Lytechinus pictus: one gene and its partner. The protein of the gene in region 1 interacts with the protein of each later gene in a pairwise test. Links are inferred from orthologs where the notes say so. Each region holds a gene or a part of one and is shown on either strand. Other genes may lie near its edges.

Region 1 (9,821 bases):
TGTTCTCTGCTTGTGTGAGGTAATGTGAACAGTGTTCTCTCAATGACTTCAAGATTTTCATCCCTCGACTTTCCCCTCGCTTTTTGTGCTTTGCGAACAGCATCAACTGCTCTCTGGACCCTAACTTTCACCGCCTTGTTATCCGTATCTACGTCACCCACATCAAACAGGGTTGCTATCAAATTGGGAAGTACATTGACACTGTATTTATGGTCTCTACACCATTTATCTAATTCACCAACTACCCCACGAACTAACCTCAAATGATTCAGTTTAACCCACCCTTCAGCCACGCCAGATAACCCTTTCTCCAAAATCTCTGTATCTATATTCAATTCAGTGCAAAACTTTCCTACGCGGCTTGGCTCTTCACCAGATTGACTTGTCATGTTTCTACTAATTGCTACTTAATAAGAAATATAAAGTTGGGATAAATACCTGTTATTCACAGACAAACCTGTACTTTAATGTTTTGAAAACGTGTATGCAGCTCCTTGTTCGTGGTCAGCCTGATGGAAATCTGGTGTATTCCTAATTGTTCTTGCGCTCCTCAAAACCTTTTTAAGATTTGCAAAAAAAATGTAAATGCGGAATGAGTCTGATATTAATAGCTAGCTGTGATGGACGAACTGCCTCTACATCTGATTGGTTGAAAAAAGAGTTGTCTTTTACAGTATCTTTTGAAGTACTCTGCAATGTGTTTGTGTTTGCAAGCATGTGTATGGGCAGCAGTCAGACTGCCACCTTGCATGTAATGTTATGTAGTGATTGCAGACATCTTTTTAATGTATACAGTTAAGACCCATATGTTTGATGTCTAGACTACCCTTTTAAAACCATAATTGTCAATAGTTCCCAGCACCTCTAATCATAGAACAAAGAACTGCCTCCCCCTTCCCAAAAGCAAACCCCCTTTTGACCTGTATAGCCAAACCTCTAGATTATAATTTGTGTTGAGCAAATGCCTCGGCCATGGTAGGGATGTACCTAAGAGCTCGGGGAGAAAATGTTCTGGACCTCACAGTCTGAACGTCCATTTCCTGACAATCTGTATTGATTTCACATCTATATTTATGATCAAAGTCATATTTGGCATTCAACATGGTGAAAATTTGGTTACACTTCGTAATTTCGAAGGTTCGTAATTCCGAAACACGTAAATTGCCTATACCTCGATGTTCGTTAATCCGAAAACGAAAAAAGGGTTCGTTAATCCGAACATTTGTGGCGTAATTCCGAAGGTTCGTTATTCCGAAGGTTCGATAATCCGAAAACGAAATAAGGTTCGTTGTTCCGAAGGTTTGTTAATCCGAAAACGAAATAAGGTTCGTTGTTCCGAAGGTTCGTTAATCCGAAAACGATATAAGGTTCGTTTTTCCGAAGGTTCGATAATCCAAAAACGGAATAAGGTTCGTTGTTCTGAAGGTTCGTTAATCTGAAAACGATATAAGGTTCGTTGTTCCGAAGGTTCGTTAATCCGAAAACAAAAAAGGTTCGTTGTTCCGAAGGTTCGTTTATCCGAAAACGAAATAAGGTTCGTTGTTCCGAAGGTTCGTTCATCCGAAAACGAAATAAGATTTGTTATTCCGAAGGTTCGTTAATCCGAACACGAAATAAGGTTCTTTATTCCGAAGGTTCGTTAATCCGAAAAATGAAAACCAGGAAAGCAGAGGAAGGGCAAGTGTGGTGGGGGGGGGGGGGAGAAACACCGTTGCTGTTCAATTGTTATGAGGATGGGAAGGCAAGGGCGGCCGAACGAATTTTCATTTGGGGGGCAAAGCCAAAAATGACACTCGTACGTCAAAATGGGCACTTTGGTGATATTTTCACCACGAGATTATAATCTGCGTAAAGTCATTGTGTGTTTTGTAGTAATTAAGTTGAGCAAAGGTTTTTTAATTGATTTCTGATTGATAAGATATACATTTAGGTTCTATTTTTCACGAGCAAGCGTAGCAAGCAAGCAGTTTGGAAAAAATTCAAATCTGAAGTTGTAAAACTCGCTTTTTAGTCAATTATGGACCTTATTGCTGTTAATTATTAAAGGGCATCCTTGTGAGATTTTGCGAGCGAATCACGAGCTCAAACTTTTGGAAATTTCCTGTAGGCCTAATAAGACATAATGATAATAATATTGGTATTATTTACCCAGGGAAGCCACTTCAGTTCAGAAAACTGTTCTCCCAGCGGGCCCTGCTATTATTACCCCGGCTTTAACTGGGCTGCCTAGGCGCCCAAAGGAAGGCATTTAAAGAATTTCTTCCTACCGGGTACCCAGGCCATTCACCTCACCTGGGTTGAGTGCAGCAAGGTGTGGATAAATTTCTTGCTGAAGGAAATTACGCCTTGGCTGGGATTTGAACCTACGACCCTCTATTTCATAGTCAGAAGACTAATCCATTATTGGGCCACAACGCCCCACATAAAAAAAGTAAACATTCCGAGCATTTTTTGTAATCATGAAAAAAGGATTAACATTGTTAACACTAGGCGTAACGATCAATAAAATTGTATTAACATTTATATTCTTTATTACCATTTTTATTATGATCATCGTTTGGATTATTATGATCATCATTAGTATTATTTTTATTACCAGCAGAAGCTCTTATTAAAAATGGCATCCCCTCCAATACAAATCCTATTACTGCTTAAGCAGCAATTGCTCAGATAAAATCGAAATTAAGCCTTTGCTTGATCTGGGCGCCTATTCTTAATGCAATACATGCTCTGGCCACAACACACACATGTATCATCGTTCGTTATTACTATTATTGCATAATATCCTGTTATCTTGTAATGACAACAGCGTTCTTGTTAACAAAATGAAATAATTTCAGTTTCGGAAATACGAACCTTATTCAATTTTCAGATTAACAAACCTTATGTCGTTTTCGGACTAACGAACCTTCGGATTTACGAACTTTATTTCGTTTTCGGACTAACGAACCTTCGGAATTACGAACCTCATTTTGTTTTCGGACTAACGAACCTTCGGAATTACGAACCTCATTTCGTTTTCGAATTAACTGACCTTCGGAATTACAAACTTCATTTCATTTTCGGACTAACGAACCTTTGGAATTACGAACCTTTCGGAATACGAACCTTCGGAATAACGAACCTTCAGAATATCCAAACCTTCGGAATAACGAATCCCAAGACAATGGTGATGAGCTATCTGAACATGGTTTATTGCACTGTCTGGCAGCAGCAAAGTCGTCTGTTCAAAATTCTTCTGCAATCTTTAGCGAGAAAATGCATGGGTTTAGGAGACGTGATTGAATTATATACATGTACATATAGTAAGACAACATGTGCATCATATTCAGTGTAAGATGTCCTTTGATATGACTTTGGATTTTTAAAGTTCAAAATAAAAAAAAATCATGAAGTGTTTAACCTCCGACCATGCCTGCAGGACAGGCACACGGTTCCTAGTGCTCAGTCTGTCATCATGTGGCACATTGTAGGTCAAGAACATATTCATTGGTGTCATTTTTTTCATAAATTCATTAATTGCTATGCGCTCTGTAGCTTGAACCATTAAACTTTAAGGCTTTTTCATGACATTAATTTGCACATTTGAAACTCAGTAGATTATTTTTTTCTTAAATTTTGTGTTTTCATGGTGGTGGGGCATGAATGCAAAGTAGGAAAATTAAATTTTTGAATCAACAAAAACATTAAGTACTTTGTAGTAAAACCATTAGATATGGTGACGGGAATAGATGAATCAATCTAATTTTATTATCATCATTTAGCAGTAGAAGCAATACGCAAGACTAATATAGAAGTAGCAGCAGTAGTTATTTTTAGTCATGTAGATGTAGAAGATATAGAAATAGATGTAGAAGTTGTAGTAATAGTAGTAATAGTAGGAGTAGTAGTAGATATTAAGCTTTCGCTTTTATCAAGATTATATTCAATTAATCGCTGTTGTGATAGTTAGATACAGCATGGTTTCTAATAATCTAAACTTCTCATCCTGTATCCCACTCTTCCTCCCTAAAAAGTATGGTAAAAAACCTGCAAATGGGTTTGAGATGTTGATATACTTGATGTCATTAACTTTTCTTTAGCTTTGGCAATATCAAGTTCATTTTTAATGTAATACTGCAATAGGTTTAAGTCATTTTCTTGTTGGTTATGATACTGGTAACTAATGTAGGATGGGGGGTCGGGTGTCTGAAAACTTAAAGGGGAATGAAACCTTTGGAACAAATGGGCTTGTGTGGAAAGAAAAAAATCAAATAAGATCTAAGAAAGTTTGAGAAAAATCTGAAAAATAATGAGAAAGTTATGAGCATTTGAAATTTTGAATATTGCGATCACTAATGCTATGGAGATCCACCCTATTGGCAATGCAACAAAGATGTGTGATATCACATGTGAACAACTTTCCCTGTAAGGTACTATAAAATACCCCTAAAATGTCCTTTTTTGCTCTTTCTTACAGTGATACAAACTCTTTATCCATAATGTATTCTTTAAAAATCAATATTACATGCCCTCTTATAGAAATAATACATGATCTACTGATAGATGTGATAAAAGAGGCAGTTTAAGTGAAATATATAGAAAAGTAATGGTAAAGTTGTTCACAAGTGGCATCACACATCTTTGTTGCATTGCCAATGGGAGGATCTACATTATGATAATTATCTTAACTTCAAATGCTCATAACTTTATTATTTATTCAATTTTTCTCAAACTTTTGTTGATCTGTTTTTGATTTTTTCTGTTTTAGCACAGGCTTTCTTGTTTCAAAGGTTTCATTTTCCTTTAATGGCTGTTAAAAATCTATTGTACGGACACATGATAGCTCAGTCGGTAGAGCGGGGGTTTCGGATTCCGGTGTCCCGGGTTCTATTCCCAAATGGTGCGCTAGTGCCCTTTGGTAAGACATTTATCCTCTTTACCAGGTCCCTCGGAGAGGACCTTAAGCCGTTGGTCCCCTGGTTGCTTGCTCACAGGCATTCGTGCTTTCTTAGCAGTCAGGTAAAAACCTCGGTATAACAAAGTATAACAACCTGTCCGGGCATACACTAGGCCTAGTATCATGGATCCAAGAGCCTCAAACAAAAACATGGAGATTATACTCAAAGTGGAAAGGAGATTTGCATGCATTAGTATAAGCCAGTTCACGGTTAGCTCATGATCAACTTTTCTCAAATGACCTTTGTGATTTTTCATTAGGATAAGCACTATCATTTTCAAATGTAGATGTTGCGTAAGCTTTACCGGTAGAGTATTCAAATTCTAAGAACAAAAGGCATTGTATAGACCACCAGTGCACCAGGGTGACTAGAAAAGTACATCGGTTATAAAATTTGGAAATCTGTTTTATTGTCTGCCCTTGGCACATTTGACTATTGTTTAGGCTACTGTCAAATACCAGTGATTATGAAGGCTCTATTTATTACTCTTCAGCTTGGATGTGATAAAAAGAAATATTTTGAAAGGAATACATGATTCATGAATAATCATCAAATCACAAATGCCTATGTCAGTGAATTTGAAAGCCACCTTCATGGTTTATCTCAAATGACTTTTTTCTACTCGTGCGCAGTTTACAACCGTGAACAGGCTTATTGTGTAGCTGGATCGCATGCATGCCAGGCATTTTAATTGTAATGAAACGCCTGCCGTCTTCGCTGGTCATGCTGGTTATCAGAGTGAAAATGGATACAGGGAGTTACACACGTGGGACTGAAGTAATGAGTCATCATATGCTTGTAAGTTGTAACCGCAATCGAACGTTTGGGTTTAATTAAAATGACAGTTTTTGCCTCTTGATAAAATGATTAAGGGCTTTTGCTTTTCTCGATTTCACCCAAAATTCGTACTATTTATTTGTTTTCATAGAATAGTCTGTAGCTGTAGGAAAACATCGTCTCCCTCCCGAGTTTCGTGCGGAAAATGACATCCTCGCTGCGCTGCCTCACAGTCGGAGCTTGACCAATCAGGTAATTGCGTTTTCGGCAATCATTCGAAATCGTCATATTCGTCAGACAATCATAGTTTTCATATTATTTGATCCTACAAAACTGATCATGTCGTTTTAAAAGAAGAACTCTTGGTATTTTGATTTCGAATGATATAATATGACTCTATTAAACCTTGTTACGCTTTTCTGCGTTCATGGTCAACAGCAGGGGCAGTCTGCTTTCACAGACGTATCACGCATTCATGTCACGTGTGCCAAGCGAGGGTCTAACACGTACCTGGGACATTTCCAACTTCGATTTCGTCACCATAATTATTTTTAGAAATGCAGTTAATCGACAAAGAACCTCACATCACTCTGCACATACATGTACACAATCACCCTCAGATAAAAAGATTAATTTAAATATTTGATAATATGAATTACTGTAAAAATTTTACCCAACAGGCCCAATGTTTACCTCCTTCTTGCTTGCTTGCGATGTGATCACTGACCTCTTCATCATGTGCATGTGATATGCGGCGCGGCGTGGTTTAAAATTAGCATTTTTCAAAATAAAACGATGGCGCTCTTCTGTGCATCTAGTTAAAGGACAAGTCAATCCCAACCAAAAGTGGATTTGAATAAAAAGGGAAAAAATCCAACAAGCGTAATACTTAATTTTCGTGAAAATTGGACGTAAAATAAGACAAAGTTATGACATTTTTAAAGGGGATGTTTACCCTGACAAAAAGTTTATTGTAAATATAGCAGAAAAAAAATGAGTGAAGGTTTGAGGGAAAATCTATCAAAGATTTAAAAAGTTATTAGTATTTTCACGTTTTTTATTTGTGTCGTCATGTGTGAGCAGCTTCCAATATATCATGGATTGAAAAAAAATCAATAAAATTTCATTTTTCTCAAGAAATTGAAGATATTTTTTATTGCACCTTCAGTATATCAACTTCAGAAAATTTTGTGTCACACCTGCTCCTGAGAGAAAAAAAGAATCAGTCATCACGAGCTATTAAAATAGAAATTTATGCATTTAAATTACATAACAAATTATAAACTAATTCAAAAATATAGAAGTGATCGCCTATAGGAGGTGGTGTATGTATATCAAGGATAATGTCACTTTCAAGCTGATGACTGATTTATACTTTTGTACCTCAACTATTGATACTGCCGGTCTTTATTGAAATCATGAAGGAACTTCAGAATTTGATTGTTGGAACTGTATACAAAGCTCCCGATACTAGTGGTGTTGAGTTTAATGACCTTTTTTTAAGCATGTCAAAGAAAAGAAACACTGTTATATTGATGGTGACTTTAACTTTGATTTACTTAGTTATGCCCTTCATTCTGATACTAGTGCTTTCATCGACACAATATTCATCGGGCTTCATCCTCTTTTCCCCACTTATCTCGAGACCAACTCGTGGTACAATCAATTATTCTACTTGTATTGATAATATCTTTACAAATGTGCTGGATAAGGCGATCCTACCTGGTATTTTCTATTCAGACCTATCTGACCATTTCCCCATATTTCAATTAACGAACTATTTTCCACCAAGTTACCACACCCATTTGAATAATAAAACCCACGCTTAACACCAGTCTTAGCATGTAACAAGTTGTCCTCTGCGACAACCTTATCCAATGTCAACGTAGCTTACGAAACTTTTGTTAAGGGTTTGAAAGAGATTATATCGCAAGTATTCAAGGACATCACCCGGTAAAGATAGAATTAGAGCACACACAAAAAACCTGGATTACAAAAGGCATTCTTAAATCCATTAGTAAGAAGGAACGCTTATTTAAGCAGTATTTAAAACTGAAAATCCATAACATGAAGAAAAAAATACACATCCTATAAAAACAAACTTATTCATATTATTCGTGTCTTTAAACAAAAATATTTTGCTGCAAAACTCAAATCGAAAACTTGGAAAATTCCTAACAGCCTGCTCGGTAAAGAACCTTCATTCATCCGTAAAGATGCATGGCGCGTGAGGCTGAACAGAAATCAATTGCAAATGCTTTTAACTCTTTTTTTTTGTTAATGATGGTTGTGTTGATAATACGAGGTCCATTAGATGTTTTCGTGATTATTCAACTCACTCCTTTTTTATTTTTCATCTACAGACAGAAACGGAATTTTTAAGAATTGAAGGTATCTGGCTCTTTAAGAAATAAACATTTCTGTGGGGTTGATGATATGCCACCATTTCTTGTAAAGAAAATAATCATAATTGTTGAACCTTTAACCCACGTGTTTAATTTATCGTTTCAATCTGGACCATTTCCAAATTCAATGAATGTTTCAAAAGTTATAGCCCTATTAAAAAGGTTGACAAAAAAGATTTATCAAACTATCGTCCAATTTAATTGCTGTCCAACCTTTTTTTTTATTCTAGAAAAATATGCAATCGATTATTTACTTTCCTGAATAATTCATTTATTTTCGGAGCAATATGATTTCGAAAATTTTATTATACAGAGTGAGCTTTGCTTTTTGCTTCTGAACTTCTGTACAAATTCAACGAAAAGAAAGAGATAGCTTTGGGGGTCTACGTAGACCTTAGCAAAGCATTCGATTGTCTGGATCACCAAATCTTATAAAAAAAATAATTTTTATGGAATTAGAGGTATTCCCTTGGAATGGTTTAGAATTAATTTATCAAAAAGAATATATTTTTATACGACAAGGTGTGCCTCAAGGTAGTATATTATTATTTTCGTTGTTCATAAACGACATTGTTGAATCTTTAAAGAAATTACATTATAATATACTGTCGACACGAACATATTCCATTCAGGTATAACATTTAAAGACTTGATTTCTGAAGAAAATGTTGAACTGCAGAATGTTGCTAATTGGTTTTCTGCAAATAAATTGAAAATTAATGAAACGGGGGAAAAAAAAAATATATATATTGAATACATAATTTTAAAATTGGACGGTAAATATATCAACCAAGTTCAATTTGCAAATTTCTTAGGTATAACTATAATAAACTTTTGTGGGAAAAACATATTGAAATAATTTCCAAGAAGATTCGATGTAATTCGGTGTAATTTAAAAAGTTTTTTTACCATCCTCTGCCATGCTTTCTCTATATCATACACTTGTATATCCGTACTTAATGTATTGTAATCTTATATGGGCAAGAACATTTGTTAAATTTTTAAAAACCCTTTTCATACTTCAAAAACGGGATGTTCGTTGATGCTGCAACGCCTCCTTCAGGGCACATACCTCTCCTTTGTTTAAATCTTTGAAATTACTTAAATTTGCAGATATTCTTTCCCAAGGCACATCTTTATTTACGTATAAACTAAAATATATGTTACCATATACTTATAATGACAGTTTTCGTTTTCATTAAGTCACACAATAATGAAAAACACAAAATTTACAATTTTTTTTTTACAAAATAGATAAATTAGATTTTGTATCTAATTTTATTGTATTATTGTATTTCATTATTTTGTATCTTGAGGGTTGCTTGTTTACAGGTTTTTTACTTTTTGCTAGCAATTCTGGTATTTTATGTACTACATTGTTTATGTCAATGATTGTATCTCGATTTTATCTTATACCAAATAAAATAATCTGAAGCTACTCGTATAATGACGTCACAAATCAAAAGCTTAAAATTCTCATAACTTTTTAGTCTTCAATGGATTTTCCTCATAAAGATTCACCAATAGTTTCAATGCTATATTTTTACAACACACTTTTCGTCAGGGTGAACTTTCCCTTTGATTCTCGCTTAATTTCACAAAACATTAATATTCTCATCCTGGTATGCAATGAGGGAACTGATGACGTCACCCACTCACTATTTTGTATTTTATTTTATTTTTATTTGTTGTCCTGAGG
Region 2 (9,101 bases), on another chromosome or scaffold:
CTTGCTGCTTGGTTTCATCCAGGATCTCATCAATGTTCAGTGGATAGAAGTCACCGTCCTGATACCGCGTCTGTACACCAGAAGATCAACAAAAGAGCAACAAAATTAAAAATCACAAAAACACTAGAAACGTTCCATTTGATGGTGAAGGTAGTTTTTTTTTATTAAAATGGCAAAATTTCTTAAATAAATATAATAAACCACACTATAAGTAAGACATTTAGACTTCAGGACAATCAATCAGAACCAACATCAATCAAAATTTTTAGTATAGGTATGTTATGTCATGATACGCAAACACGAGGCCTGTTTCGTAAAGAGTTATAGCTTTAATAACTTCTTTGCCATTATTGTAACTACCATGGAAACATCGATTGTGCTTGGCTGATGAGCCTAGTATCATGGTAGTTGTCCTAATGGCAAAGTTACCTACATGTAGTTTGCAAGTCTTTATGAAACAGGCTAAAGGTGTTGCATAAAGCTGTTCATAAGTTCCCTTAGAATTTACACAAGACTTTACACAACTGGTAACACTTTTGTGTGTTAATAAGATGTGAACACTAAATTTTCCATTTATTAGATAATGGAAGCGCATTTCCTAGAACCCTAATTACATATGGATGCAGAGAGAAGAAGGGACAGGAAGAAAATGGGAAAGGAAATCAGGGACAGAAAGAGTGAGGTAGAGAGATAAAGAGAGCGAGAGAAACTGAGACAGAGAGGATGAGAAAAAAATTGGGGAGAATAATCATTACTAGTGTAAAAATGTTAACTGTAACCACAAAAATTCAACATACACAAAGACTGACATATATCTGAAATGCAAGGTGTAATGAGCACCCCATCTGGAACAAAATGTTTGCTGCAAACAGGTGACACACATGTAAGCTTGAATAAAGCCCATCAAAATCAACACCAACAATCCAATTGAACAATCAATTATTATATAGGTCAAATGTACAATTTTTTTACAGAAAAAAAGGTTGATACATATGCATTTCTCAAACTTACCTTCATAAAGTTTACAATTTTTGCCAGGATGCCAAACTTATATTTGGAACTACCAGCATGGGTCTTGTAATTCAGGCCTGTTGACAATCGACTAGAACCTTAAAAAAAAAAAAAATCCAAAGAAATATTAAAACCTGATTTATCCTGGTTATTGTGTTTTTTGCTCAAGATGGGAAACTCACTTTTTATTTTTTGGTCTGTGATGGTATTCTATCCCAATTCACTTGTTTTTAGTTATAAAATTCACAAAAACATCATGCTTAACATACAGAGCATATCATTACAATTCATCACATATCGTTACATACCCGAAACATATAGAACAGCAGAATGGTTTTCAACCAATAAATTAATGCAATTCAGACAACAACTTAATGCTCCTGCAGTGATTTCTAAACCGAAGAGACCGAGTTACTTTAATCACTTGTAAACAACGCACTCAAACAACTATTAAAGGATTATGGAGGCTATTTTCCTACTCCTAGAAAACTCACTGTGATTTCTAATGCAAATTCATAGGGTCGTTTGAAATGTGTTGGGAACCAATCACTGTTTGAATCCCATGTACCTTTTTTCCTGCTAATGCAAATTATACAGTATCAGCTTCAGGGCCCATACAGATCTGTAATTGATCATGGGGCTCATTTTTACAACTGATCACACACAATAATCAATGCAATCTATCAAAGAAATCAGCCTAATAATCAATTGCTTAGCTTTATGTTACCAGTCCCAAGTTTGAGATAATTAACTACATAGGCCTACCTGGTTCTGAAAATCCGGGGCCTGGCTTTTTTTTCTTTGGGGGTGGTTCGTTGGAAAATCCAGTTTTCGGTCTCTTCTTCTCAATGACAGGTTGGGATTTTGCTCTCTTCAAGAACGCTTCCCTTTCTCTCAGAAGTGCTTGATCCATTCTGGTTACGCTTGTAAAGAAATCCTATACCAAAAGAAGATAAGAAAGGCATGTAAATCTAATTTTATAATATACTGAGATGAGCAGGATTTTTAACTTTAGGCTCCATGTCAAGGACTGTTAATTGCACAGCAAAAAATGTGTGCACATTCCATTATTAATTTATACTGCCTAGACCAAATCTTTGCCTTTGGTATTTCATGTTTTTAATTTTGAGGGCAAATATGAGCTATCTGTTCTCTAACTTCTCTTACCAACAATCTTTGCCAAATTCAAATTTACTTTTCTTTTTGCATTTCATTGCCATGCACATGGCATGCCATTGGATAGACCAAAAGCTTCAGTCTCTGTATTTTGGTTGTTCCGCTGAACTACGTTGGCTCCACTCACCATACATAGACTGAAGGGGATGGGGCCCCGTACCTACAGCCAACGTATAGTGAACTAGCGTTTTATAGATCGCGATTTAAAACTGTTTTTTAAGCAAAATTGAAAGTTTAATGGTTTCCATTATCAGGTAAATATAAATAACTTAAGTAATTGCATACCTTGGGCCGGAGTTATTGAAAAAAATCCTCTGGATGATTGAGAAATCTGTCATCTAAGACATTTTCACCTGACCTGATGGTTTTTCTTGCAAGTTGCCATCTTGAATGACGTCATTATCGTATTAACTTAATGTCTCGAATCGATATATCGCGATTATAACTAGTACTAGTACTAGTATAACTAGTATCGTTTATCTTCGGTTTCGTTCGCATATGGAGCAGATCGTATAATATCGAAAGCAATATCGATATCACATTCGTGATTGTTGACGTTCGTTTGTAAATATTTTATAGTTTGGCTGCCATTTTGACCATTTTTATCGTGTTCAACCCAATTAAACATCGGTAAAGTATATTTTTCATGCCTTTTTCATCTATATCGTTTAAAGTATTTAAATGTTAAAATATAAAGTTTTAAAAGTTTGTTGTTTATACATCCTTAGATTGTAAATTCGATGTGTAAAATTACATCAAACTTTGGACTGTGAATTGACAAAAGGGAGGGAATGAGAACACATGCGAGCCCACACGTACACCCTACCGTCGGTAAATGGGGATTACAGTAAAATGTCAGAAATTGTTGAATAAATCCCCAGAAACGACGGTTATTCCTGTCTAGCCATTGGATGCCTTTTTTTTTTTTAACTTCATTTTTTGACATTGTCATTGTTCAACAACGTTTTGTATGATTTGCAATGGCCATGCCCATGGCATGAAAAAAACCCATCTTTTTGGGATCTTATTATAAGATTTTTGTGGGTCAGCTTTGCAAGACGAAAGCATTAAGTCTTTAAGAATCGATTTGAGTGTAGCCCTTAATGGAAAGTACCCAAATGCAACAGTTACCCCTCGCGAGCCGAGTCTACACATCATTGTCCGACCTCCGCCGCCGGAGCCTTCGGCGGCGGCGGCGGCGGTGGCTCTCCTTGTCCAGGCTTGAGTCCTTCGCCTTCCGTGAAAAGATTGCCCTAAGGCCTAACGTTACGTCTTTTCTTAGTAAGGTTTTTCCTAAATTTCCAAGGCATCTGTACAACAAACCACACAATTTATAATATTCGATAATTCTAATTATTTCAAATACAATGTTTTCATGGTTGATACTCACCCAAGAAACGAATACAACGTTTTAATTCTATCAAAAATCGATGCAGTTCCTAATTCCTTCCTTCATTTATAGCTAGGCTTATGTATGTAGGCTACTCTCGAGGCGCAGGCGGGTTAATGTCAATTGATTTCCTTATTTTTAATATAATCACTGTAGAATACTAGATTAGTAAATTATCAATTTTGTATATTGATTATTATGCTCACAGAGTCGAAAAATGTCTCATAATCATATTCTAAAAGGACATTTAATTACTTTTAAAGATAACAAATCTAAAGTTAGTTTGGCGTGAAGACTAGTCTTAGATGAAAATGGCTTCGTCCACGGATACCAAAACAGGGCTTGCTTATCTTTATTTTCGTCGTATTCATGTCAAAAGAGTGATTTGGTGCTTGTTCATCACTCTAACAATATCTTTAGTGCTTATGTACATGAATGTTGTGTCTATTCTAGACAAGGAGAATAATGGAAGGTAAGTTCAGCTCACTAAAGGTAAATGGTTTGAAGGGGTGTCTGTGTGATTATTGGGTGATGATGATGATGATAATGCCATCTGTGCATGTGCTCGCATTGAATGAAGTTGTGTGTAGTGGAGGAGGTGGATGCCTGCCCGGTGATGGGCGGTGCATCTAATTGCAGGTGGTGGATGGAGGTGGAACTTGAGTTGGGTAGTGTTTGTACAGTTGCAGTAGATGATTTAAATGTTATTGCTTGGATTGCTTGGATTATTTTTTAGAGAACTTAATAAAAATAAACTTGCCCACCATTAAGTAACTTGACTTTGGAATCTTATTTTAAAATAAAAGGGAAAAAAAATTGATCGAGACCAAAGTAGTATTGATCGAAAGGGAAGAATTGAATTTTTAAAAGTGCAATTTGAATCAATCATTATCATTTGTTATAAAATAGTTTTTGCCAATCATAGTATAATCAATAGAATTTAGAATTGGATGTTCAGTAGATGATAACATAGATTTTTAACCTATTTAATAATTAACATATATTTTTATTATTCATTAACCATTTATGTGTACATAAAACTCATGTGAACATTCTTAGTACCAGCATCTAGTTATAGTTTGATTATGAATGAATTAACATTTATTTACCCATTCATTCTTTCATTTAACATTCGCTCATTCATCATGCATTTATTTATGTATTCATTCGTCAATTCATTCATCTATCCATCCATCTTTTCATTCATTCATTTATCCGGGGGGGGGGGGGGGGGTACTTGACCCAAAGAGTGGTAGGTATGTGCCGCGGGCAAGACAAAAACGGGGGCTCTGGAGCGGGTTTATTGTAAAAAGGAGGGTCCTCGGAACAGGCTTCAGAACTACAAATGTTTGTGAAAACGGGGGTCTTTGGAACGAGTCGCCTGCGTGTGAGTGTGTATGCATCCCTATGGAACGTGCATGCAGCTAGCCCGGCGGTGCGGCACGGGCGCCGGTTGCGCTCACACAGAGCTAGAGGCAATGGTCAAACAGCAGTTTTCACCAAAATTGCATCTCATTGTAGCAGATCAATGCGGCCGGAATGGCGTAACGAAAAATATGCGAAGCTTTGGAGCGGATTTCTTTCTTCTTTTTTCTCGATAAGAAGAAAATGCTATGCTTTAATTGGAGTGGCTTTCTTTGTTCTTTTTCTCAATAAGATAAAATAAAAACAGAAATTTGAGTGTACAAATGGGAGTCCCCTCCGCGGCACATACCCATATCGCATTATATACTGAGTGCCCCCCCCCCCCCCCGGGTTATTTATTCATCCATCCATCCATTCATTCAACTTACCAATCAAAATTATGCATGAGCAAGTAGGAACAGTACTATCACTAACTAAACTGCCAATATGCACATGTCTGATTGAATTCTCAAGAGTCTACAAAGATCTGTTTGAGAGCAGACAGGACCAAAAGTACGATACTGAAGACCAGGATGACTTTGGCAACCTGGGTGACCTGCAGGAAAGGTCAACAAACTTGTTATCGAGTCGGATCATCGAATCGTCAGAGATAAGCATTGATGGTTGGTGGATGTCTCACGCAAGGTGGGATTATGAAGTGGACTGTGATGCGGGGAGAAGAGGACTTTGTGCAAAGGTACTGCTCCTGCCCAGTGTTCCTGTTAAATAGCACTATTCCTATTTTTGAAAAGAAGAACATTGCCATTTTAAGTCATATGTCCCTCTTTCTGTGAAAAAAAAAATCTTTAGCATAAAGAGGAAATTTAAGAATTTCCTGTTTCATAAAAATAGAAAGTTCTATTTTGGGGAAAAGAAACTTGCTCTGTTTAGTTAACCTTAGTAAGTTTACCTTAGGTTCCTATTTCTGTGAAAAAAAAATCTGTAGTAGGCCTATTGAATAGGAAAGTTTAAGTCTTCCTGTTCCTTGAAAGTTCTTCGTAATTTGTTCCTATTTTGGGCCTACATGGTTGGCACTTGACAGGTAGGTCTATGCTATTGCTTTTAAAATATATGATTCCTGGGGAAGTTTGACTTCGCATGATATTGTTTTAATACATCAGGGATGCATTTCTTGGAACAATTAATCTACTGAAATCCTTGCATCTGATTGGCTCATAACAAATTAGTTAAAAATTGCTGTCAAGATATGCTTCATGACACACTCCCTTTGCTATGTAGATTTTTTTCCTGACTTTCTTCTCAAATGAGTTTTTAATAGTTTCAATTAAGGTACCGGCCTGGGTATACTCTAATTTGCATCAAAGATATCTGCTAGTGTACTTAATCTAATTTATTTATGAAGTTCAAAATGCACATGATTATCAGCATTAGTATGATCTTAAGAGGAATCTAAATGCAATATTGATCTAGTATGTGAACAAAACATGTCTCAAGACCATAAACAAATGGAAAAGGTTAATATATATATATATATTTTTTTTTTCTTCATAAGTTTTATGTTTTACTGACACATTGTTTAGGTGTTAAGATTTTCATTCTGGTTTCTACTCCATGCATTAAACATGGCAGGTTCTTAAAGTAGGATGCAGCCCAGACAGTGTGAGGTCCATCTACCAATTCTTGCCTGTAAGTCATAAATTATTTGATATTTGTTGTTGAAATTTATTATTACCATTAGTGTCTGATAATGATAATGATGATGATGATGAAGATGAAGATGAAGAAGATGCTGCTGCTGCTGATGGTGATGATATGATAATGATGCTGCTGCTGCTGATGATGGTGATGATGATGGTGGTGATGATGATGATGATGATGATGAAGATGATGATGATGATGATGATGATGATGCTGCTGATGATGATGGTGATGATAATGGCAATGCTTATTGTACTTATGATGATGTTGATATTGATAACTTTCATGGTTTAGATGATGATGAGATGATGATAATGATGGGGAGGAGGATTAATATTAATAATAATAAGCTCTTATTTGCCCAAGGTAGCAACTTCAGCTATTAGCCAATCTTCCAGCGGGCCCTGCATTCATAATTTCCATCGTCCATTCTAATACATCGTTCATCTGACAAGAAAAGGGATCAAATGGTCCCATTTTTGTTATACAGTCTGACCTCTCTTATCCGGACACGGGACCAGCACCAATCCAGATAAGGGATTTATCCGGATCTGGGAGACCCAATATTAAATACACTCAGCTCCCCAACGGCGGTAGCGACACGCTATCTACATGTATTGTAGTGGGCGCGCGTACAGACAGTATTCTCTGCAGTGTCGGTGCAAATTATAGGCGGTATTTTTACGGAAATGAAATCGATCGAAGGCCCAAACTGTTGGATAATTTACCTGCTAAAATGGTTGAGGTATACATCGAGCATACCTCGAAAGAAAGAGAATGACTCGATGAAACAAAGTTTTATGATTAGATCATCGCGGCGGGTATCGCAGCTTCGCAATGTCAGCCATTGTTATACTGACTGTAGGCTCAAACATGATAGATGGCGCTGTCCGTATTAAGGCCTATAGTGTAAGCTAGCGAGACATGTGTTGTTTTTCTTGGGAAACAAAAAGAGAACATGATCAAATATTGCTATGCGCCCTTATTTACTGGAAAATTATCCTGCCTAAGTTCTTTCTGTGATTTAGGTGAGATATTTTCATGAAAAATAATGTTGTTGTATGTAGACTATATTGGAAAATATATGTAATCAAAGTGAGTTTGCGTATAGGAATGAGTTTAGATTCAAATCTCATTTCCTCAAGTACTAGATTGAATTGAAAAAAAAAATCTCGGCAAGTGTGCGTCCGGATAATAGAGAGATCCGGATAACGGGAGGCCGGATAAGAGAGGTCGGACTGTGTGAAATTGAGTGGATATATCGAGATTTCACTTGAAATTAAGTTCCATACATTTGTTCAATTTAGTGTCAATTATAATTTGTGTTATATTAGGAAGATCTGATTAAGAACATGAATGAATGAAAATGAATGAGTGAGTGAGTGAGTGAGTGAGTGAATGAATGAATGAATGAATGAATGAATGAATGAATGAACAATCAATTAAGCAATGAGTAATAGTATTAATCAAGGAATGGATATATTGTAATTTGTTTAACAATGAATCAAATGAAAGGTGAATTGCCAAATAAAAATTGATTTATAAAAGATGAAATTAATTTCATGGTTTCTTTTCTTTTGGCAGGTTAATCCACATGTCAGGTTAAAAAGACTTCATTTCTCAGCTCAAAGTGCATCAACTAATTTAAAGAGATTCCCAGAATCTGTGAGTAGTGATAATTTCCTCGTTCTAATTCTCCTAGTATATTTAAAACCATTTTCTATAATTTGCATGTAATATTGGGCTACATCTATGCACACATGAAATCTTGACAATCAAATATTCAATAGTTTTAGGCCGAGGCCAATTTTCCATCAGGCCAATTTTTATTCTGGGGAAAAGGTGAAAAGGGTATCCCAGGCCTGGCCTTGGATTGCCATAGATTGATTTAAGCCATGTACGTTATCCATATATATCTTTATCTTTTGAAAATAATTTATTTCTTAGCTAGATTTTGCCCTATCAATATATACAAATGGCGAATAGGCATGAGTGTGATGGCACGAGATTTGCGCATGAGGTGAAAGAAATGATAATGATATTTAGTTTTTTGTGTAGCACATATCGTGTACCATTTAACATCTCTAGACGCTTTCAAAGGACTTGGATATTGATTACCCTGGCGTTATCACGGCTAGCTTTTACAGTGCACAAGCAGTTTAAGGAATATATCCATAATAATAATAATAAAAAATACATATATCACCATTAAAGATGAGAATGACCCTGATGAAAAGACTAAGGTTATATACATGTACTTGCACTTTGCAGGTGGAAACCTTCAAAAATGCTCTCTAAATATCAGAGCTTGGCAGGTCCATCAGAGCTGAATTTCAGTATGACTAGAAGAAGTTCCGTTAACTCTGGATGGACTCTGGCTTAACTTCATGAATCTAACCCTTGAGACGCTCAACCACTGCGCCAAGCTCTTTGTAAACTGATAAAGATAAGACTTCTCTCT

What was found.
Region 2: the proteins of general transcription factor IIE subunit 1-like (region 1) and transcription initiation factor IIE subunit beta-like interact in a two-hybrid assay, tested with the Drosophila melanogaster proteins (2 studies listed by BioGRID). The link is inferred for Lytechinus pictus from reciprocal best matches to the Drosophila melanogaster genes TfIIEalpha and TfIIEbeta.

What each region holds. Positions count from the first base shown.
Region 1 is NC_087248.1:6,412,076-6,421,896, forward strand, and holds the start of general transcription factor IIE subunit 1-like, read left to right. Parts: upstream 1-5,863; 5' UTR 5,864-5,969; intron 5,970-6,390; exon of another isoform or gene 6,391-6,470; intron 6,471-9,821. Other genes in the region: uncharacterized protein LOC129259117, read right to left, coding at 1-389.
Region 2 is NC_087247.1:27,122,618-27,131,718, reverse strand, and holds the start of transcription initiation factor IIE subunit beta-like, read right to left. Parts: upstream 3,667-9,101; 5' UTR 3,578-3,666; intron 1,949-3,577; 5' UTR 1,925-1,948; coding exon 1,777-1,924; intron 1,110-1,776; coding exon 1,012-1,109; intron 71-1,011; coding exon 1-70. Other genes in the region: uncharacterized protein LOC129257518, read left to right, coding at 3,883-4,049, 5,456-5,678, 6,572-6,628, 8,225-8,305.